3 linked regions of the Lonchura striata genome follow. The protein of the gene in region 3 interacts with the protein of the main gene of each other region in a pairwise test. Links are inferred from orthologs where the notes say so. Each region holds a gene or a part of one and is shown on either strand. Other genes may lie near its edges.

What was found.
Region 1: the proteins of SPRED1 (region 3) and IL16 interact in binary tests that used the Homo sapiens proteins (3 or more experiments, as listed by UniProt). The link is inferred for Lonchura striata from reciprocal best matches to the Homo sapiens genes SPRED1 and IL16.
Region 2: the proteins of SPRED1 (region 3) and CREB5 interact in binary tests that used the Homo sapiens proteins (3 or more experiments, as listed by UniProt). The link is inferred for Lonchura striata from reciprocal best matches to the Homo sapiens genes SPRED1 and CREB5.

Annotation. Positions count from the first base shown.
Region 1 is NC_134613.1:15,908,236-15,916,295, reverse strand, and holds the start of IL16 (pro-interleukin-16), read left to right. Parts: upstream 1-5,041; 5' UTR 5,042-5,090; intron 5,091-8,060. UniProt on the Homo sapiens protein: Interleukin-16 stimulates a migratory response in CD4+ lymphocytes, monocytes, and eosinophils. Primes CD4+ T-cells for IL-2 and IL-15 responsiveness. Also induces T-lymphocyte expression of interleukin 2 receptor. Ligand for CD4.
Region 2 is NC_134603.1:122,802,381-122,809,681, reverse strand, and holds the start of CREB5 (cyclic AMP-responsive element-binding protein 5), read left to right. Parts: upstream 1-4,234; 5' UTR 4,235-4,393; intron 4,394-5,337; 5' UTR 5,338-5,421; coding exon 5,422-5,424; intron 5,425-7,301. UniProt on the Homo sapiens protein: Binds to the cAMP response element and activates transcription.
Region 3 is NC_134608.1:30,927,998-30,935,920, forward strand, and holds the start of SPRED1 (sprouty-related, EVH1 domain-containing protein 1), read left to right. Parts: upstream 1-4,914; 5' UTR 4,915-5,120; coding exon 5,121-5,149; intron 5,150-7,923. UniProt on the Homo sapiens protein: Tyrosine kinase substrate that inhibits growth-factor-mediated activation of MAP kinase. Negatively regulates hematopoiesis of bone marrow.

The sequences.
Region 1 (8,060 bases), on a different chromosome or scaffold from region 3:
TGACAAAATCCAATATGGATTCACAGTAACAGGTTAAAGAAAAGGGCAGGTCTAAAGACACCTTTTAACTGAATTCATGAAAAATACAGAGAAAATTTTCATATCATTTTTGTAGGTAGAGTCAATTCAGTTTTCTTCTGCTGTTTATGTTTCTTTCCTTATAAATCATAGTTTGGCTATTGATAATTCTCCTTTCATTCAGCCTAAAGGGCCCTTATGTCTCCCTACAGTTTAGGGGAACTATAAATTAAAGGCAATACTAAGTCAGATGAAAAAGGAGCATTATGTGGAAAGAAGGTAAAGTTATAACTTTTTAAAATATTTGTTTAAACTTGAATGACACCATACAGGAGAGCTCACATAATGCTCTTACTGCTCTGGTGCTGCATTAAGTTATAAACTGGTCAATGGTTAAAAAAAAAAAAAGGGATGGACCTTTCTTTCACTACCAGATATTTAGCAACTTCATAGCTGACATAAATATTTAGTGTTTCTCAAAGCCCAGCATAATGTCACATATAGCCTATACACACACTATAAAAATATTAAAATAAAAATACAGCACACAACACTTAGCTGAAAGGGTACCATTCTTGCCTCGTGCACCCCTCCATGGCTATAGCAAACAAACTTTACACTCAGTGCTGTACTTTTTCAATCACACACTCTTAACACAATCACTTATGTAAATCATATGGACTGCTTTGTAAACAAAGCATTGTATGCATAAAGTAACATATCCTTCATGAAGTCCAAGGATATGTTCTCAAAAGGAGGTAAAGATACTTTTTATGGGTGTACACTTAGAATTAGACTCTCTTACATGGAACTATATAAGCAGTATTTTACTGCTCATCTCTAGGGCACTGCAGCAAGAGAGGTTAGTAATCACAGAGTGGGAGTGCAAGTCATGAAACACAAATGTTTCTGGCAAGGCAAGGTCTAGGAACTTTTATTAATTCACAGGAAAGCAATTCACTCGAAAATAGTTTAGGAGGTTGCAGAGCTGGATACCATCATAAAATAGCCAGGTAATAAAGTTCACAAAAGGAAGTGATTTTTTCAAAAAGGATCTGAAGCAAAAGGAGGAATTCCAAACATATGAAAGCAGTGTGAAGCTGAAAGGAGGGGCAGAAGACAAAAAGATAAAAGTATGCAGAAGATAGAGGATGACATCAGTACAGAGATCAATGAGAAAAGTATTCCACAGAGATGTGAAGATCAGAATATTTTTCCTAGCAGAAGAACTGAACAAATCTTAGAGGCAACAAATTTCAAATAATTACAAGGAAGTACATTTATATGTAACACATGAAACTAATTGCCTGTGCATACTCTTGAAATCAAAAGCTTAATGGGAGCCAGAAATGGATAAATTACAGTTCTATTACACAGGATTAATTTCATGTGTAGAAGGTAAAAAATATCTTTGTGTTTCCTGGCATGAGTTAGGTACTAAGTAATGAAAGGAATTAAAAAGAGATTTACCTAATTTAACACTATGCAATACTTATCCAAGATGAGGCAGCTGTAACTTCTGCTAAAACAAGACATATCATATCATCATATCGTATCGTATCGTATCGTATAGTATCATATCGTATCGTATATATCATATCATATCATATCAATCATATCATATCATATCATATCATGATATGTCCAAGCATTTCATATACAAAATCTCATCGCGCCAGTCTACTCTACCAAGGTACTCAGAAACTCTTCCTGAAAGCAAACTCTATCTTGATTTTTTTTTAAGTTAATCCCTTTAAAACAATTGCTGTCAGTTATTGCTGGAGAAGGCTACTGGATTAGCTGGGTTGATATGGTGACTCAGCATGCCATGTAGCTGTGTTTTCATGGATGGAAGGGCAGTGTGAAAGTCATGAAACCCAAGACAGAGATGACTAATCCAGCCTGCCTTAGCAGCAATGAAGGCATGGATTGTCCTGTGCAGCATAACTGTAGTCTGGAACATGGCAAATGTGAAAATTGTGGCTGTGTTTAAGGCAAAAGTAAATTATCAGTTTGTTGAACAATGTAAGGATGGGATAAAAACTTGAACACTCTAAACTATTGGCTTTCTTTCATATTAACACAAACAGTATTTGAGGTTGGGTGGAGATCAGGACTGAGGCTGTTCCATCGTTACTTAGTCTGCTTTGCCCAGTACTAATGTCCTGTTTAAATTTATACATTCCTTTTTGGAAAAGGTTGTCACCAGTAGCAACAGGCAAAATATTTAGTACTGAATAGTCTTCATATTTGTCCTCTAGAATCCAAACCTGTGCATGTGGAAAATAATTGGGAGAAAAGAAGGCTCAGCTCCTGTATCTGCTATAGTTCCAGACACATCTTGATTTTAGTCATGCAAAAGAGAAGAATTGCCATAACTATTAAGTGCAGTGGCTCTTCTCTTTGCTTTACCCACTGCCAATAGATACTAACTCCAGATATCAGAAGAGTTACTCCATTTTATGGTAACTATCCCATGGCTGGACTGTCACTCTATCTGTAAACTGCATTGTTTGACTTTGATTCTAGAGCAGGAGTTGCTGCCCTTTCTACAAGCTATTCCCTTTATCTACAGAAATACATTTTCATCAATTCACCTCCTGAGGTGAAATCTCTGTCTGACTGAAATCAAAGACAAAACATCTAACTTCAAAGTGCTCATGATTTCTGCTCCCTTCTTGTTCCGCACATGCATTATGCCTTAAATTTTAATTATTTCTTTTTATTTGTTTGAACTCTTTATTTTACCACATTATTTTCCTGTCCCTCACATGAGAAGGAAATAAAGAAGCCACACTGATTTGCCTTATATTTCCTATTATCTCATAAACTTTTTTCATTATAGGTTCTTTCTGCATAGGAGAGTTCACATAATTTCAATCTTTGAATACAAATTTTCAGCCTCTGATCAGTGTTCATTTCTCTTTTCCTGCTACAATACCTTTGAGCTAAGTAATGAGGATTGACCACTGTATCCAATATCAAAGCATACCATTAATGCAAGGGGCAGGCACAGTAGAGGTACTCCTTCTCCTTTTCTTCATGGCTTCTAAAAAACTGCTTTTCTGTTCACCACTGGGCACTGAACAACTTCTGTACAGAGAAGATGGAAAAAACTGCAAAAGGTTAGAGTAAAGCTACATGAAAAAACAGCCCCTCCTTGTGATATTTATGTTTCTGCTGCTGGCCCTGGCAGAAGTCCAGACTTGGAATGAACAAAACTCCCAGTGGCTTAGGGACTACATTATTCAGCCCATAGTCAGGAAATGCAAAAGCATGTGACAATGGGAAGAAATAAAGCAAGCTTTCCAATGCTTTTGAGCTTCCAGCTCAATCAGCTTGGATCAGAACTCAGGGACTGTTGAGATTTTTGTGTGAATGAGTTCTCTATTGCTAAACAAAAACATGTGTGTGTTGTAGTGAAAGACAGTAAAGTGGTAAACAGTCTGTGGCTTTGCTTCCTTGTTGATATTTCTTTTTTACAGTACTAGCACTACATATAAAACCCCATTTTATGTACAAGGCCACTGTACTTTCTCTTCAAATACAGTGACAAACTCTTTGCCAAAATTCAAAGTCAGCTCCCTATTTCTCCTCCTTTCCAGGAAAGCTACTTCATAATTGTTGATCACTACTCAGTGCCAAGACTTGGTTCTTCTGAAAGAGTTGGGTAATGCTCCATGTCATTTATTAACCACTGAGTCAGGTAAAACCTCTGTCCTTTAGAGAAGATTTCATCTGGGGAACGAATATCCCAATAACAGATGTTGGGAAAATAATGTCAAATTCTCTCAATAAACTCTGTTTAAAATACAGAATGCCCACAATTGTATTATCATGGACAACATTTTCCAAGCTCTTGGAAACACTGTACAGAGCAGAGATTTCATCTTTCCTTTTTCTCCCAGTATGGAATCATTCTCATTGGACAGATGTTTGTCTTTACAGTCCATGTTTTACCTAGAAGCAATAGGATCACTAAACATGAGCCCCTATCTGTGCAATATTTTAAACCATTTCTATAATTCCTCTCCCTCCTTTACAAGGTTAGCGACAGAGCGATAAAACCAGAACCTTCAAGACAGAACACTGAGGGCAGCAGGTGTGTAAGCACTGTCATATTGACCATTTCCATGACCAGAGAGGAAAATTATTACATTTTCCTTAAAAGCATGAGATTAATAGTTTGCGAGAACACTCTGAAGAGGCCTGACTATTTCAATAAACTAACATTAACTCTTCCAGATACAATGTTTTCTTTTAGGGATTTTTTTTTTTAATTAAAAAACACCCTATGAATCTTATCACATAATTTCATTGAGAGCAAGCAGGTTTCTGCAGCAATTTTGTTACCTGTCTGTCTGAGCACAACTGAGGATCAACAGGTGGGGACTGACATGATCTGTGTGATAAGCAATAGTTTTCTGAGTCCTTGATCTGGTTGGATCACAAAGTTGCAGTCTAGCCCATAGTGGGGAAAGTAAGAACTGGTAAGTTAAGGAGATTGTGCTCGTGGTGAACAATACAGGGGTCTGGCATTCAAAAGTGACACCTCTTATGTTTTGCTCCTGGAACAGAATTTGTCCATGAAACTCTTACTAGCTTAATGTTTTTTTTAATGTTAAAATATCAGCTGAAAAATACAAGCATATTTGCCATCTCAGCCTCCAACAGAAAACCTTCACTGGATTAGCACAGACTCTGCTGTTGCCCCAGCTCCCCTCAGGTGGCTTTAACATGCCTGAACCCCATCAAACCTCAGACCAGAGAGTGATGGGTGAAAACAAATGACACAAACTCCTTAAATGGTTCTGCCATGTCCAGGTAGCTGGGAGCCTGCTGGAAACAGCTTCCCCAATACTACATCCCAATGCTTTTGTTTATCTAGCCCTGCTGACATTTTCTTCAATTAGGAAACAATAGCTCCGTTCCAATGTACTGAGCACAATTACTGAAACTGAGTCACGTGGCACCAGGAGAGTGTGTTTTCAATTATTCACTCTGTCTTTTTTTGCCAGGCCTATGAAGAGGAACAGCCTTCTGCAGGAGTCAGGTTTGTCTGCCTCGCTGCTGTAAGTTCTTCCTTTTAAATTTTTATTTTACCATTAGGGTTTTTAATTATCATTTTTTAATTCTGCTCTCTGAGAGTTTCTTCCTCTTTATTAGAAAACTTCCAAATCTTTAGCTCTACCTACTGTGGGGAAACCCTAGTCAGTGCTAATAGTACTGCGCAGCAATGAATCTGAGTAAGAATACAAGATCTAGATTAAATTAGGATGCAAGATCTAGATTAAAAGAGGATGCTGCTAGCACTTGGTAATGTAAAACTCATCTTGTTCTTGCTAGTAAAGTCCTGTATTTCCTGCTGTCTGGTTAACAGCAGAGCATTCACATTCAATCTGGGAGCTACACCAAATTATTTGTATCTTGTAAATGCTTGGTTTAATATCCAACCAAAAATTTGAACCAAATGCCTACAGCTCAGATCATGTATTTTGTTTGCAGAAGACAGTCTGAGTTTGAACTTTTAAGATTTAAGGCTGGAAAAATAAAGCTTGGGGGAAAAAAAAAAGAAACATAGAAGGAACATTTGGTTTGCATTACAAACCACAGACAGCTTCCATCAGGCAAGCTGGAGGTATCAGAATGGCAAAAGAAAATGACAAGCAGTGAGTGCACTGTAGAAAAAGACGAATGGTTTAGAGAATTGACTTTGAAGTAATTGTCCATGCCATCAATATCTCAAATTAAATTTGGTGGAAGATGGCAATGAATCATAAAGCTTCTCTGGTACTTGTGATATTGTATGCTGTGTAAAATAACAGTTCTGGATATTTTTATTGGAAAATTTATAAACTACATTTTTGATACCTCCTATATTTCTGTCACTTATGCAACCCTGAATCAGCAGCTCTGGAAAGAATGTTGCCTTAGTTAGGACTTGTGATCTAACACGTATAGCAAGAGCAAGTATTTAACTGGAAGTGTTCAAGTCCAGTGGGTTTATTTTCACGTCAGCCCTTGTCTCACTGTGGGATTGGGTAAGTCATTCAGGGTTAAACTTGCTCTTTGAGTGGATGGAGCTCTCATGGGGATGGGGGAGGAGGAAACAGCTGATGGAGCAGGGCAGAGAGTTCTCTCTGCATAAGATAAAATTTCTCAGGAGCATTACAGGGGGATGGGAAAGCAGGATGCACTTAGACCCGTGTTTCCTTCACTGTTTCAACAGGTGCTTCCATCATCCCTGCATCCCAGATGTTTAGCAGAGCCAGAGAGGCACCTCTTGGACATTTAGTACTGATGGCAGTTCTCCCTTAAGCCCACTAGCTTCAGGCAGAGCAAAAAAGGACTTCATTCTAGCATGCCAGTCGCCAGAGAGCTGCATTCTGACCATTAAGCTATCAAGTCCTCTGCTTATCCAAATGCTTAATAGCTCTTTTAAAATAATTCCTCTTTGAGAAAAGTAAGAGTGTGTTTAATTTTTGCACAGAATTGAAATACTTGAATGCAAAGTCTTCTTTCTTTTAATTTCCCCACATGGGCAGTATTATTTAGGTCTGAATGTGCAGCTTGGGTACATCTGTGATGTTGTTGCCAGTGTCTAATAGCAATTGCCAGTATCACAGAAGGGGCACCGATCCCTACACCGGATTTTCAAGTGATGCACATTCCACTCACCTCCAGCTCTGTTGCTTCCTACCCAGGTGCTGAGAGTAGAGACTTGCAGAAATTCCCTTTATCCCAGACATTCTTTCCTTTTCAACTCCACATTCTGGTCTAATGGGCCAGATAGCATTTTTACATTTAGTCATACAAGGAAACACAACATCATAGACGTTAACAAGATTAATTTCCTAATACAGTGGAGATGGGATTTCTGAGTTCAAATATTTAGTTCATGTATATGATGGTAGACTAAGGCTTTAGACTTACCATAACACTAAAAAGTGCATTTTTGATAAGTCACAAACAAGATCTCCAAACCTTACATTCGTGTGCTCTGTGTCACAGGAAGAGAGTGTGGCTGTGCTGCTGGGCAGTTCTCAATCACACCAAACTTCTCATTCATAAGAGCGGCTACTCTGAAAATAAGAAAAAAAGTAGAATGTTCTGTGAATTGAAGGGGATGGGGAATATGCAAGTCCAGTTTGACCCTGCAAGCTTCCCTCATGCCAGTGCCAGGGAGGCTGGGAGACCAATGACTTCCATTCCCCTGTTCCAATCCAGCGGGGTCAGACTCCCACTGGAGCAGAGAGGATCCCCACGACACACAGAAAGCACACCAGCTTTGGGGAACTTGACATATCCTGGCTAGTTTCAAACTTCCACCTGAAATAGTGTCTTGCTTGGAAATCCCTGGAGTTCCAATAATCAGGACATGAGTTTTTGAAGCGTTAGGGATTTTGTTTTGGAAAAAGAGACATAAGGGAGTAGAGCAATAATAGGAGTGATGTGATAGAAAATAAGTAATGATGGAAAGATGTAAAAGCATTACCTATCAAAAACACCAGAAAAGACTGCACAAATAAACATCCTTCTCCCTGGGACATCTCTTCTGCACCTGAAAATTGTTTTAATTTTAGAAATTCAAGCAAATTCAGATTCATGCTGAACTGTGGATTACTCCAGCAGTGTCATAGTTCCTTTAAGCAGGTGTTCAGTGTCATAGAGTTTATCATCTGCTTTTTTTTTTCCTGTTTAATTAAATAAGAAAAAAATACCAAGAAAAACAATCCTGCAGCTTTATTACAATGTTGACTTGTATTTATTATCCAAATCTGGTTTGGTCTGAATTTGGAGGCCTGTGTTTCTTGTTGTGGCTGTAAGGAGCCTTATAAAATCTGCCTTCTTTATTTCTGATTTACCAGCAGAACTTCAGCTACAAAGTGCATACATATCTACCTAATTCTGCACAGAAACAGGGAAAAAAACACCAAACCAAACACAACACTCCAGTTTAGAACACGATGGACAAATTTTTCTCTCAATAGGATACCTCAAAAGTGCTTTTTAAATTACATTGATTTTCAGGTTTTTTGTGT
Region 2 (7,301 bases), on a different chromosome or scaffold from region 3:
CCTTCAGATGAATGGGTGAGGAGATGTACATAGAGCACAGAAATGCAGATGTGACTTTCTTGGCATCCCACAGGACTGTTTCACATCCCCGAGATGTATCACACTTCCTTTCCTCTCCAGTCCACTTGAGAAATGATACAGATGAACAGGAACAGTGTTTACCATTTACATTTCAGCTAATAGAACTTTTCTTTTTAAAAAAATGTGTGATACTACTTAACTTCTGGTTAACTCTACTTATTCACCAGTTTCTGTCTCAGCTTTGAGATTAATCTGGTACTTCCGAGTCAGCTCCTGAAACCATAGAGAATACTTGGTTCCCTTCACTGATAGCCCATCCAGTCTGTTACTAAAATAAGGAGATGTGAGGTCTGAACAAAGATGTAATAATTAAGAAATCTAGCATTTCATAAAAACACCAGAATTACACTTGTTCAGGATATCACTAGGATTATCATATATTAAATAGCATAATTTGTACCTCCTTTTAAAATGCATTTTACTATCACCATGGATTAAAGTATATGTTGATATCTAGAAATCAATTTTTCCTCTTACCATTTTATTTCTTAGGCTTCACTTCTGTGTAACTAGTGCTGAACTACATTTTTTTGTGGATAGTTTCACATGATAAATGGAGAGCTCTGAAGTTCTATTAGCACATAAGGAGGTGAATAAATTACTGTTCGATTAGACTAAAAGATATTGCTGCAAAGTACTTGTAACAAGATAATTGCAAGTGCCAGAGCTGAGAGTAGCTCTCAACACTGGCAGCAGCTTAGTTAAACATGTGGTTAATGATGTTATAGGAAGAATGGGTATGTAAAATATTCAACTCTACCAGCAGTAAATACTCATTTTATTTGACAGCAATAGGGATTTACTGAGACTGATATTTGACATACAAAACTCCTATAATTATTTTAATATCTTTACTTCCCAATGATTTTAATGATATGACAAAGATTTTAGGTGTTTGCTGAAACAGCACTACTGTCATTTACTATCAGTCAAACAAAATGTCATTCTAACGCATTTAAGTTCAAATGTCTGAGTAGTTTTAATACCCATTAAACTATGTAAATTGTTGTAAAGAATGTGTCATTTTCAGGTTTTATACTTAGAGTCTAAAACTGACAAAAACCTTTATATTAAACATTTGTTAGAATATACAATACAGAAAAGCATGTAAGTTGGGATTTTGCCACAAGAAGAAAGCAGGTTTATTAAAGCCTGAGTATAAAACCAGAAAAGCAGTGTGTGACTTTGTACCTTTAAATTAGTTTATGAAAAAACAGGTAGTGCCTCATGGAGTTGATTGCTCAGTACTTTTCATTACAAGTTTCTTCAATCTCTTAAAAATATTGCCAAGTTTTGAACTATTCAGTATGGAGTTTTCCTGCCCTAGGCAGGAGTATTTTGGAAAGCTGCTTCCAAAATTCAATCACTCCTGAACAATATTCCATAAAAAGGAAGTAGGAACATTAACCTGTATTTCACAAGCTGGTGTTTCTTGTTTGGTGGTGTTTTGGTTTTTTTTGGGGGGGGGGTTTTGTTTGTTTGTTTTTGTGTTGTTTTTTTTTTTTTTTTTTTTTTTAATATATAGTGGTTTTTGAGCAGGAACCTGAAGTTCTGCAGAATGATAATTTCGCTGTTCCAGGAGGTGCCTTTGATTAGCCTCTAAGATTTGGTCAAATTTGTCCCCTGCATTAAGCCTGTTCTCAAATTACGGCTTGTCAGCTGAGCTGTAACTGACTCTGCGTACATTCCTCATTTGCTGAGTGGAATATGCTAATTCAAACCACCTTTAGAGGAGTTCATATTAAAGAGCTGTTCTTCACAGTGACAGCACACAAGCAGACATCAGCTCAACATGAAAGTGGCAACTTTGGAGGCAGAGGAGTGTCTCTTTTAGTATCAACATCCCACGGTTTAAATCAAGAAAGAACTTGGCAATTACATTTTCTCAATGTCCCTTCTCTGCTCAGTGTTCTCAGGCTGAAGGCATCAACACATTTTCTTCTCTGTGAACCGTTCAACCAACGGGGATTAAAGTGAGCATAGAACAAAACAAAGCTGCATCTCAATGCTCCTTTTCACATCCCCATTCAGAGATCAGAGTGGTCGCCATAGAACAGAGAGAAGGTTGGTAACAGGCAAAAGAAAAATGGAAATAGATAAGTAAAGAGCTGGAAGAGGGAGGAGAGCAAAAGAATCTGAGGGTGGCAACTGAAATAGAAGTCGGGCAAGGGGGAAAGCAATAATATGTGACACATATTGCAGCAGATTTCAACCTCAGAGGAACCGTTGACATTATTATGTCATTCTGCCCCCCAGGACTCCAACTCATTTCAGGAGTCTTTCCTCGGGCCCTGAGACTCATATCAGGAACCCAAAACCTCTCCGGCTCTGCTGTCAGTGAAAACCAAGGTAAACACCTGTCAAAGTATTTGTCACCACTCTGTGTGAGGCAGACACTCACAGACGGCTGCCACAAGCTGCCTGTCTGTTTAAGTGGTAGAGATCTGTCCAAATATGTATGTGGCAAGTAAAACAATTGATCTGAAAAAAGTGGAGGTACTGTTCATCTTGCTTTTAGGATCTTTTTTTTCCCATAACTGAGTCTTACTACAGAGGTTGCTGGCGTATTTGGGCCCTATTGTCCTCAACTGGCACCTGAATTCTCCATTGTCATTTACAGTTTGGTCTCATTGAGAAAACTGGAGAAAAGTCTCACTGCAATCCCAGGAAAACCCATCGATCAGCCACAGTGCCAGCTGCATGTCTGTGAAAGTGTGAGTACATAAATTGTACGATGAAACTTCAATGAGAGATGCAGAGCTGTTTCCTGCACTTAAATCTTTTTGTCATGGCCTTAAAAACTGCTGTGTTTGTGTGTGCTAAAACCCTTCCTGTGAGACAGAAATAACTGCAATTATTAATTTAGTCATCTGTGTAGTTTATAATTCCAGGACGTTTAGAGGTAAGGCACTTTGCACTTGATATGCAGTTTCCAAAGATAATACCTGACAAAACAAAGGCTTACAGTGACAGCATCATTGAGCTTTATCCTAAGGAGTTAAATGAGTTCAAAACCTATCATCAGTCACTGATAGGATTTGCTTCTATCTGCTTAAATCCTGCATAAAGTGCCAGTGAATTGTTAAAAGCTGAAGATGATAATCAGACAGCCTAATAGAAACCTGTGAAAGAATGGTATTATTAGGAGTAAAGTGCTGTATTATTGCCATTTGTAAAGTATTCCCAATTTTGGCAGTACGTGTTGTATTACTCCTCTCTTAATGGAATATCGGAGAAAAACCAAACTGACCAAGCCATTGCAGATTCTGAGACCCTCAAAACACTGAGATTTCCTCATGAGACAATCCAGGCTTAGGTGCTAAAACACTGCGTTAGAATTAAGTCATACCTCCTGGCATGAATCAGCTGCTAAATCCAGTTCAATCGTGTATCTTTGATACAAATCCCTCCTGGATAACTGCAGTGTGGAGTAAGGTGCCAAAGGAACCTCCAGACCCAGGTGCTAGAGGAACTGCTGAGGAGCATTAGGTTGAGAGTAAAAAAAAAACAGAAAAGGAGGCGCTGAAGTAGATACAGGGTAGAACAGTAACTTTGTCATCCGCAAGCGTCCCAGACGACGACTCAGAGACACTGCCAAATAGATGCAGAATGTTTAAATGTTCAAAAAGCAGTGAGACACTCGATTCTATCAGTTAAGATTCTTTGTGACTGCGCTGCTCCAGCGCCACTGGGGCTCCGCCGCGGCATCAAACCCTGCCAGGCGGACACCGGGCGCACCTGAGCAGGTGAAGAGCGGCGCAGCCTGGCACGGCTGCAGCTCGAGACGGAGCTTCCCTCCCTTCTCGGGCACCGCGTCACTCCTTAAACACTTTCTAGATAAAGAAACTCAAGCAAACAAAAATTCTCGAAAGAGTTCGGGGCTGCAGGACCCGAGTCCCCCTGCGGCTGTCACTCAGCAGAGGCTCCGCGCCTGCCGGAGCTCGGCACGCACAGGCACCGCTGTCCCCCGGCAGCCCCCGCCCGGCCCGGCTGCGCCCCGTCCCGCCCGGGCGCCGGTGCCGGAGCCCGCGGCCGCCCGGGACGCGGGGGGCGGGCCGCCCTTCCCGGCTGAGCCAGCCCCGCTCCGCCCCGGCCCCGCGGGGCGGGCCCGCCCGAGGCCGCGCCCCCGCCCCGCGCTGCCGGCCGCCCCCCCGCCCGGCACGGACCGCAATGATTTAGAAGTTCAGGAATCCCACGTGACGTCACGGAGGGTGATGTAATGCTTCTCTAAATAGAACGTATTGTAACCGTCCCTCAGTCCAACGTGGTTCCTCCGGCCGCGCTGCCGGTCCCGTCCCCGCCGCGCCGGGCGGTAAGTTCCTAAAAATACGGGGCTGCCCCGGGAAGGCGCCCGGCGCGGCGCGCCCCGCACGGAGCCCAGCGCAGCAGCGCCGGGTGCGCGGCTGGGAAGGGGCAGCCTGCGGCTGCAGGGGCTCTTCCCTCCGCCACCGCATCTGCTCCGGAGGCGGCAGCGCCGGTCTCCGTGGCGGGCGCGGAGTCCCGCCGCTCCCGCGTCCCCGCCGTGCTCGGGGAGAGGGGCGTGAGCGACCCCGAGTCCCGCGGAGGGTAGCGCAGGGCAGGGCAGGGCGGCGGGGGCGGCAGCGCACGGTCGCCGGGACGCGGGGAAGCTGGACTCCCCGTCCGCACTTCAGGGAGTTTGGGAAGTCTGCGCGCTGCTTCCCGGGACGGGACGGGATGGGATGGGATGGGATGAGACGGAGCGCAAGCAGCACCCCGCTGGTGCTGCCCCGAGCGGAGCGAGCGGGTGGGCAGCTCCCGGCGGAGCGACCGCGGAGTCCCCGCGCTCACGGCGGGCTGGACGGCTCCAGCCTCAGCGTAACCCGGCGGCACCCGGCGGTGACAGCTCGGCGGCGCGCTGCCCCGCCGTCCTCTCTCCCCGCCGCTCCCAAAACTTCTGCATAAGTTTCGCGGCGGCGGCCGTGCTTCCCTGCGAGCCGGGAGCAGCAGGCGGTGGCCGCGGAGCGGTGCGCGGGGTGCTGCGCGGCCGCTTTCCCCGTGAGATACCCCGGGTGTCGGGCTGCTGCCGGCCCTTACGTCATGCTGCGGGCCGGTGCGGGGCTGATGCTCCGCTTCGGATGCCCTCGGGTGCGGGGAGGGGGCGAGTGTTGACAAGGTCTCTTCTCTGCAGCCCTCCTCTCCCTTTACAGCCTCTCTACTCCGCTCATCATTACCCCCGCCCCCAGCTCCGCGTCCCCCCGCTACTGTCCTCTCTTACAGGGGTCTCTCTCTCCCCAGCGAAGTTTTCAGGACGATAAGAGCTGCAGGAGTGTAAGGGGAATACTTGCTAAACTCTGCCTCCTCTATTATTTATGTCCGAGCATGGTGAGTGATCCTTCATCTCCAGGGCTCAATGTAAGCTTTATAATTGGAAAGAGAGAGGTAGTTTCAGAGATGGGGGTAGAAATAAAGGAAAATGAAATGTCCATATGTTGCTTAGTTTTTCTTTTTTACTTTTTCTAAATCCAGATTGATATGAGAAGTGACCTAAACAGAAAGATTAGAAGATTTCCGTATATTATCAGTAAGAAACAGTGCTTAGCTAGATGAAATTTAAACTTGAACAGAAGGATAATAATTACTGTGAAGCATCTTGGGCTTTTCTTGAGACTGCAGTTTTTTAGAGAAAGATTCACCCGCTGGTGTGCACCAGACTTTCCTTGTCTGGCCATTTGGACAAGCAGCAGTGAGTCAAGGAGCAGTGATGTAGGAAAACTTTCTTGTAAGATATATGCAGGGATAATCCGGAAACTTGTCTGAAAGAAAATTGAGAGGTAGAAAGTGAGAGCCGAATGCAAAAGCGTAGGGTAATTTGTGGGAATTTTGCTGAAGGAGGTATGCTTCCCTAAAGGTACTATTTATTTTCAGTATAAAAGTGTACAGTGGTGAAAGTCCCCGCTCAGTGTTTTGTAACTTTCATGTGGCGAATGAGGTTGTCGGTATCAAAAGCTGGAAATTCTTAATAAAAAATGGCTAAACTCCTTATTTGTGACTCCTTAATCCTAAAGGGAGCTGTACAGGTCGCAGAGCACTAGGGAAAAGTGTGATTAATGATCAGTGATTAGTGATAAGTGATTAGTGGTTTTATTCAAACTGTTACCTCTGACCAGAAGCACACATCAGAGGATTAACAGGCTCTTTAGATAAATGCTCATTAGTGGAAGGGGGAAAGCAAAGATAATAGGCGTGCACACAGGGACAACTTTCTAGGAAAATCATTCCTGTCTCTGGCATAATAAGCTCTGTTAGCAGAAAGGCTCTTTAATTTAAAAGTTGCTTTTATCTTGTAAATCAAAGATAGATGTAAAAGTTTGCTGCGCTATTATAGCCTAAATTTTCCCATATCCACTAGATGTGGATTATCTCAGTAGTGATATTTTATTAAAACAACCCCACACCACAATTGAATCTGTAAGAAATTGAACATTCCCAAGGCTAAAGCCCTGCATCCCGAGGCATCTGCTCCCAAAGCCTGCTGCTGGCAGCTAACTAGATGGCGCAGTCCTGTTGTGTGCGAATGTACACTTCTGGGTTATGAACTTAGCAAGCAGCAGCTTGCTAGGTGTCCTTCAGCACAACGAAGTTGATTCTGTGCTGGGTTGGAGGCTAGACAGTGCTATGAGTTTGTAGTCACATTTTCCACTTCAGTTAATCTGGGGAGTTAAAGGCTGCTGGAAAAATTAGTCTCATTTACTGAGAGAGATGGTGAGAGAAAGAAGAGAATGAGAGAGGGGCAGATAGCTACGGCCCGGGACGTAACTCTTGATTGCACTGTTTTGTACTGCTTAAATGAAGTACAGTTCTGATGGCCCTAATTAATGAAGCCTGAAAGCTCTTGGGAGTTTTTCCCCCAGCTATAACTGGCAAAGTGAGTCTTTTTCTTTTTTTTTAAATAAGTCACTAAAAAGAAGGAACAGTTGGTGTGGTGGTTGAACAAAGCAACTTAGACCTGACTGTGCTTTACAGATTATGGTAAGGAGCCTGTTTTTATAATAACTAACCAGTGTTTTTTCATTACTCCTAATTATATATGGCTTGGGAAGAAGTGGTATCTACTGCTGTCGATAAATTTGGGAGTTTCATTTGTCCCATTAGCTTGCATGGGATTTATGTTTGGTTTCAACTGTAGAGTTCATCGAAGATTCAAAACTTTAAAAGAAACACTTGAGTGAAACAGGAAATAGAAATAATGAACTTATGGC
Region 3 (7,923 bases):
CCCAAATAACCTCTAATAATTTTCCTCAAAATGGCAGAATATCCATCTGACTTTCATTTTTTGTAAATGTATCATTAGCATCTGTATACAAACATAAGATCATGGTGTTTTGTGGAGGCAGAGTTCCAAACTTTCATATTTAGGACTTAGAGCCATGAATTGGTCACTTAAATTCTGCAGTGACTGACTAATCTGGATTGCATTACTTAACCTCCACTGATCCTATTATGGATTTTAAGATGTGAATGCCATGCAGATCAGAATTATGCAACCTAACCTCTATAATCCATCTATATATAATTCTTCTGCCACACACTCAGAGTCCTGCTACACTCCATGGCCATTCCTGACAACCTCTTTCATCAGAGGTGTCACAGACACAATGTGGAACTGTTTCAAGGAATGGCAAATAAGAAGACTGGGCCAAATGTATATGTTTTGTACATGTTTTGCCCATAATGGTATTTGGTGAGTGATGTCTCTGCTGGACCTTATCTCAATCCACAAACCTTTAGTTGTGTTTTCTCTCCCCAGTCCATTTGCAAAGGGGAGTGACAGGGATGCTCTGGTGGGTACCTGATGTCCAGCCAGGGTCAGTCCACTACACTTACACAGATTTCTTCTTGTATATTACATGGCTTCCTAATAATATAATTACCTTCATTTTGCTTTAGCAGTAATGGTTGCCTCCCCAGTTCTCATTTCAAAAGTCCCACAGCTATCAAAATATTGCAGCAGAGCAATGACATTGACATATAAATTAGTTTTTGTAAAGTGCAACTTGAGGTATTTGATATAGCAAAACATCAAATGCAATGTAAAAAATAATGATTTTTAACCTCATTTGCCCTTTTCCATACTGAGCATATCTTGTCTCTAGCTAAGGAGTCATCTCTGTACCCACACCAGAAAGTGAGTGCATTTCAGCACCTCTAGTGATTCGAGTAATAGAAGCTTTCATTTTTAGAGGTAACTTTTCCAAGTCATAGAGAAGGTGGCCAAATTTCAACTCAGAACACATATATGGTGCAGATTCTAACAACAGCAGAGGCACAGAATTTACAAAGACAAGGCCCTAAAACATGTGCTGGTTGGAACAAAAAGTAGTAAGTTGTCTGAGGTGTCTGAATGGTGACATATATACCTAACTTGCCTCTGCTTTGTTTGCACAGGCAGGACTCACACATACTACAGAAATAAACTATTTGCATTGAAAACACCCGTTCGCTTAATTCTCCTCAAAAGAATCAAACGTGGAAAGCCCTGAAACCAGCTGCTGCTCAGCAAAATAATACCAGTACTCCAGGACTGTGTTCTTCCAGCTTTCTAGCCTGGACAGAGGAACACAAACAGGATTTCAGAACTGAGACACAAATCAGGGCAGATTTTCTGTCCTCTTTAGGATATTCAGGTAAAAGGAAGGAAACTGTCTGCAAGACCTCTGCTTCACACACTGCTGCATGAGACTGCTTGCAGAAGTTGAAGGACCTACCACAGGTGAAGAAGCAGCAGGTCCTTCTCCCCTTACTACCTCCACACAGAAAAATAAAAGCCCAGGATGAGTCTCACATTTTTCAGTTGACAACTGAATACACATTTTATTCTTAACAAAGAAGCTAATGAAAACTTTAAGGAGACTGAAATGATTTGAAAATTATTTGTGTTATATTAAAAAAAAGTTCATTTTATTGAATTGTCACTATGAAAATAATTTTTTAATTAAATATATTTAAGGAATCAGCATAAAAAACACACACCTAGATTAATGATCTTGTCACCATTATTTCTCATTCTTCAGATGCAGTGAACAGAGCTATACCACCAGACAAACTGAACTATTCTTGAGCATTCTTGTACAGAATCATGTATATTGACTTAATCAAAACAACAATTTACAGAATGTTAAATATTTTTACTTTAAAGCCAACAGAAAATGGGAAATAAATTTGCAGGAAGTCACATTATCTTGCCAGTCACAAGACAGGAAGTTGTCTGAGAGGATTCTTACTGCTAAGTAGAATATTATATTATGCCCACAGCTGTTTTAGATACTTTTCATGTGAATTGTAAAATTATATAAAAGTGGGTTTGTAATGTTTAGTATCTGGACGAGGTTGTGCCATGAATAACCGTTCCATTTTTGAATGTACTCTTCCGAAAAAAAAAAATTACAAAGCAACTGGAAATTTTCCCCTCAAAGCCTTCTACACAAAGAAGCAAACTTTAATGCTGCAGGTTTGAGATACGCTGCTTGAAACATATTAATGACTTTATCAGATAAAGCATGATAACAGTTTACTGTAATAGTACCATTAAGTTTATGGCAGAACCCCTTTTAAAGAACCATGGAACTTCAATCCCTAGGAATATTGCAACATAAACTATCTAGAAATGAAACATGCCTTTCCTTGCCTTCTAGGTAAAATAAAAATAGATTTTGTTTACAATGCTCTAAGCAACCACCCCACAAAATAAAAATCTAACTAAAACTGCATATACTTAGCGAAAAGAAACTATTTCCTTAACAAATATGCTACATAAGTGCAATATTGCCATGCTTCTGGGCATTCAAACAAATGATGCAAGTTTATAATCTGGCCTTCAGTGATGTGAGGCACTCCAGATTCCCTTTAAATAGTGAAAATTCCTTCTCCTGATTTCCCATGTTCCTGTCTCTCCCTCTTGGGAAAAAGCCAATCAACAGTAGTGTGGGAATCAGACACGTTATTACTGCCAGCGTAGCTTGCCCCATCTTTTTCAAACAGAAAAAGAGAGTAGGTCATTGGCACTCCTATAGTACCACCAGAGTAGGGAAAAAAAAAAATCTCACAGTTACAGGAAAAAATGAAATGGGATCACAATTGACAGAGAAGGTTCTTAGAGAGCAGCTGTGAAAAAGTGAGGAAGAACACAGGAAGCCTGAGGTAATGGAATGTGCATTGGGAAAGTGACGTCTTCCAGCAGCAGCACCACTATGTTTTGGGTTCTCCACGAAGTTTGGACAACGAAATATATCAGTTGGCAAGCATGCATACAAAGACTAAGAAGGAAGAAATAAAAATCCAACCGACAGACAAAACCACAGTATAATCTTTTATTATAACTTAATTTACTTGATGGTCTGACTCATGATTTTTGAGTCCTCCGGGTTTGCAGCTATGCTCCACTTTTTCACCAGATCAAGCAGCACATTTACCGTGTAACTTCCTGAAAAGGGATTTGGTTGCTGCTGCTTCTTGATTTCACTGCTTTACCTAAATCAACTACACATGCTTCTACTTCAGCGTGCATTTAGAAAAAGGGACAACTCAAGCACAAACCCTCTCGTGCCGTCACTCCCTTAGAACCGCATTTCGGAAATAATTACGAGGGCCCCGCTTTCCCCGGTCTCCGGAGCGCAGAGTCCCACAGGGCAGCGCTCGGAGCAGCGCAGCCCGGGCTGCCGGCCGCCCTGCTCGGCCCGCCGCGTCCCAGCGGGGCCCGGGGGCTGCGGGCGGCCGCTCCGGGAGGAGCCGCCCGGAGCAGGTATCGGGCCGGGCACCGCTTCCCCAAGCCCCCGCGTCCCCAGAGACGGCCGCACTTTCGCGGCTACATTCACTCCGGCTTCAAAAAGTAGCTGAAAAGTGGGAGCCCAGCCCGCAGGCGGAGACTCCGGCGCTCAGCCGCGCCTGCCCCAAGCCCCCCAGCCGCTGCAGGCGCCTGAGCCGGGCCCTTTGCCACCGGCGGCCACCGCTCCCGGGACCCCTTCGCGGCCCGCGGGGGGCTGCGCGGAGCCGCTCCGAGCGGGGGCCGCCGGCGCGCCGGGCCCCGGCAGCGGCGGCCCCGCGCCCTCGGAGCAGGAAGGAGCGCGGCAGCGGGCAGCCCGCGTATCCCTCCGCGGCGCCGTGCGTGCGTGTGCGGCGGCGGCTCCCCGGGAAGCGCGTGAGGCAGCGCCAGGGGAGGGAACTACTTTCAGGAAACTCGAGCGCCGGGCAGCGCCAGGCGCCGCGGGGAGGGCGGCGGCGCGAGCCCGTCCGGCGGCGGGCGCGGGTCAAGGGGATTACTTTCCTCCCTTCGCTCTTCCCTCCTCTCCCGCCTCCCTTTCCCCCGTGGTTATTTTGGATCAAGCTGTGGCGGCGGAAGGAGCCTGAAGTCAACGCTTCCGCCCAGTTTTCCTGTGAGGAGGAGGCGGGGGCGGCCGCGAGGAGCCGAGGCGGCGGCAGCGGCCGCTAATGGAGTTGTTGCCGGGGAGGAAGCGCCTCCGCTGAACTTCCCCGCGGGCTTTCTCCCTCCTCTCCCCCTCATCCTGCAGCCGAGGGCTCCTCTCTGGCCCCGGGAGCTCGGCTCCCCCTCCCTGCTCGCGCCTCTCCTCACACAAACAGCCGTGACGCATCCTCGCTCTCCGCCGTCCCCCCCCTTCCCACCCCCAGGCTGGTTTAAAACGCCTCCCTCCCCCCGTCGCCAGCCTTCTCCTTCGGGCCGGCGCGTCCTCCCTCCGCAGTGCTTGGCGTCGCTTTGGAGGGGGTGGGAGATCCTCGCCGAGCCTCTCTGCCCCCCTTTCCCCTTCCCTCCCCGCCTGCCCCGGCCTGTGGTGGCTCCGGTGTCTGGAGGAATTTCTGCCGCCGCCTGCCCCGGCTGTGCGCGGGAGGCGGGTGGGCAGGGAGGGAGGGAGGCGGCCGAGCAGCAGCAGAAGGAGGAGGAGGAGGAGGAGGGCAGCAACGAAGGCGGCTGCAGCGGGAGATGAGCTGCAGCGGGAGGACGGTGCGGTGCAGCTTTTTGCGGCGGGGAGCCTTCCCTTGTCTCCACAACTCTATCCCCCTCTAACTGGGAGCAGCTCAATATCAGAAGATCCGTGGGTTTTGCTTCTATTTGCTTCACCATCGCCACCATCATCATCGTCGTCTCCAACGATAGGGGAAGTAAGGCTGCACCGCCGGACATCAGGATTTCGGGTTTCCAGGATAAAGACCGCTCTCCTGTTCCTTCCCCCCGCCTCCCCTCCCTTACTCACCGCACGGCCCGTGCCCTGGCCGGGGGCGGCAGACAGGGGGTAACAATGGTGAAGTTTCTGGTGAGTTCTGGCTGCGCCCTGGCTGCGTCGGTGCTGCTCCGTGTGCCTGTCGGATCGTGGTGAGGAGAAAATGAGCGAAGAGACGGCGACTTCTAACGAGTAAGTGGCGGTGCTCCCCCTCCCCTGCGCCCCGGGATCGGAATGGGGATGGGGCTCGACGCGTCCCTTCGGCTCCGCGCCCCGCGGGGCCTTTGCCCGCGCACGTACGTGTGCTGTCCTCCCCCTGCGCGGACTGCGCATTTCTGCTCGCGTACATGGAAGCCCAGAAGCTCCCTCTTTGTGAAGGAGCTTAGTTATGGAAGGGCTACTAGCCGCTGGCCAGAAAAGCCTGATTTAGTTAAAGCCCGGTAGAAAACGGTGCAGGTAACGATGGTGCCTTGGAGGGGCAGGATAGGTCTGAAATGCCCAGAGAGGTGTCGGCACTTACTACCTCTGATAAAATCCTATTACTTGTAGATATTTCACATGGAAACTAGTGTGTGGGAGCTTCATCCTGCAGGAAACTGCTCCTGAATTTTAATTGGATGAGTCAGTCAGTGTAAATACAGTTTAAACCTACCCTAAAGCTCTTTTTTCCCTTTCTTTTTTCTCTTTTTTTTTTTTTTTTTTTTTTTCTTTTAATGAGCTCTTGGGACTTTCCCCCCTTCCCTTCCCCCTCCCCACCCCCCAGAGAGGAAAGGGATCTCTTAATATTTTTGCTCTGACTGGTTTGGATGAAATCCAGAGGAGATTGTGTGTGTGTGCGGCTGTATTCTCCTGCATGTAATTGGTCTTTGAAATACATTCGGGTCGGAGACGGTAAATGTTTGTCAGAAAATATCCGAGTTCTTTATGGCTTTGAAATAGGAATATAAAGTATTTTGAAACTTTTCTTGTGGTCGGGAAGTTTAAAGTCGATTGCTGCGGTCTCCGAGCCGTAGCGTTACGATTTGCGATGTCGATGTTTGCTCGGTCTTATTTTATGAATGATGCGGTGACGGCCGCGGCCATGGCGGTGGGGAGGGAGCGCTGCGCCCATTGTATCTGTAGGTAGCGGTGAGCGGCCGGGAGCAGCCGAGCTGACAGGCAGAGTGCCGACGGGGCTCCTCCGGCAGGAAAGATGGATTTCCCATTTCACTGCCTACTTCTGAGCAAAGCCTGCGCACCTTCCCGTGCGCTCCGCAAGCGCGGCGTTCGGGTCCCCGGGGAGCGGCGCGGGCCGGCCCCGCGGGGAGCGGAGCCCGGCGGGGCGCGGGGCGCGGGCGCTGCCGCCCGCGGCGCTGAGCGGGCCGGGGCGAGCCGGGCCGGGGGAGCCGCCGCGGCGCCCGCGGGGCCGGCAGCCGGGGCCGCCGCCGCCATGTTTCCTTTTTTTGTGAATCGCTCTCATTTGCATACCACAATCTCCATTCATAAAAAAAAAAAAAAAAAAAAAAAAAAAAAAAAAAAAAAATTGCGAAAAAAGAATTGCTGTCACCGCCGCTGACCTGCGGCGGAACCTGCCCTGCGGAGCGCACGAAGCGGCTGCTCCCGGGCTGAGGGCCGGCCTGCGGCCCGCGGCCGGCGGCGGAAGGTCTCCAGAAGCTGCTGTATTAATATGTACTGTTCGCTGCTTGTTGACACAGTTATGTGGGAAATATCAGCTCGGGGAGGTGCTGGGAACACGTGATCAGCTCCATTCATAAAATACCTGGCTGTCCATTCACAGTGCAGTACAGTGTCTGCATTCAGCAGCCTCGAAGATCAGACCTGCATGGGAAGGGAGAGGCAGCCAGGCCGGCAGGTTTATCGAAGAGGGCAGCAGAAAGAGGGCTTATGGCTGCGAGCATGGGAAGTCACTGTAAAGGGGGATGTGGAGGGACGAGACAGGCTTATTTTTATGGTTTATGTTTATCCTTTTCCTATAAAGGAGCATGAATTCAGAAGTACCTTCTCGCTGTACCATCTTACATTTAAACCAGGAAGAGTTTTATTCAGAAAATGTTGAAATATTGTCCCCTTCATGAATACTGTGTCAAAAATAGAATACTGACAATCAAATTCATTATTATGAATGTATTTTCAAGACAGAGAATTAATCCATTTGGAGTAATTTACATTTTATTGAACAATACAGCCTTACATCTGCAAAACATCATGGTGCAGAAGGAAGTCAGTCATACCTAATTAGGCATCTGAAAATGTTGCCTATTATACAGGTGACAGTGAAGACAACTAAATTGATAGAAATCAACATTGCTATTCATTTTTCTGTCTGTTTACTAAGAGAATTTTACAGCAGATTAGCAATCGTACTTTCTCCTTAACCTATGCCATGGCTAAAGAAACCTCTGAAATATCAGAATACTATGAATGTTTTTAATATGGTATAAATTACTTAGAGGGCACTGTATTATCTTTGATTTTAAATTTATTGAAAATTAAAAATCCCACAGTGGAATTTACTGATGAAGGATCCGCAGAGTAGACAGTGTATTTTTTTTATGCAGCTGTTTTGTGGTTGCCAGTGTTAAAATGGTGATGTTCATTGCTCATGAGTATGCTTTTTTATTATCTTAACAAATTACACAGAGGTGATCCTTAATTATACATCCATGGAGTAGAGGAGGCTTGTTGTTAGTACAGCCTAAGAGATATTACAAATCTTTATTTAATAAAAAAAGGAAAGTTCATATACAGTATTTGCTTTGCGTTTATTCAGTGGTGCTATAGAATGAAATGTGTTCTTATATAAATACCCTTACAAAGCACTATAAACTATGCTTTTTCTTAAAGAATTAATGGTTTTTTTGGTTTTTTTTTTTTTACCTCCTGTATTTAAATATCAGAAATAAAATAAGAAAAATGCTTCTCGGTTGCTTTGCTTTTTTTGACAGCATGTTTGGTGTGGCCAGAGT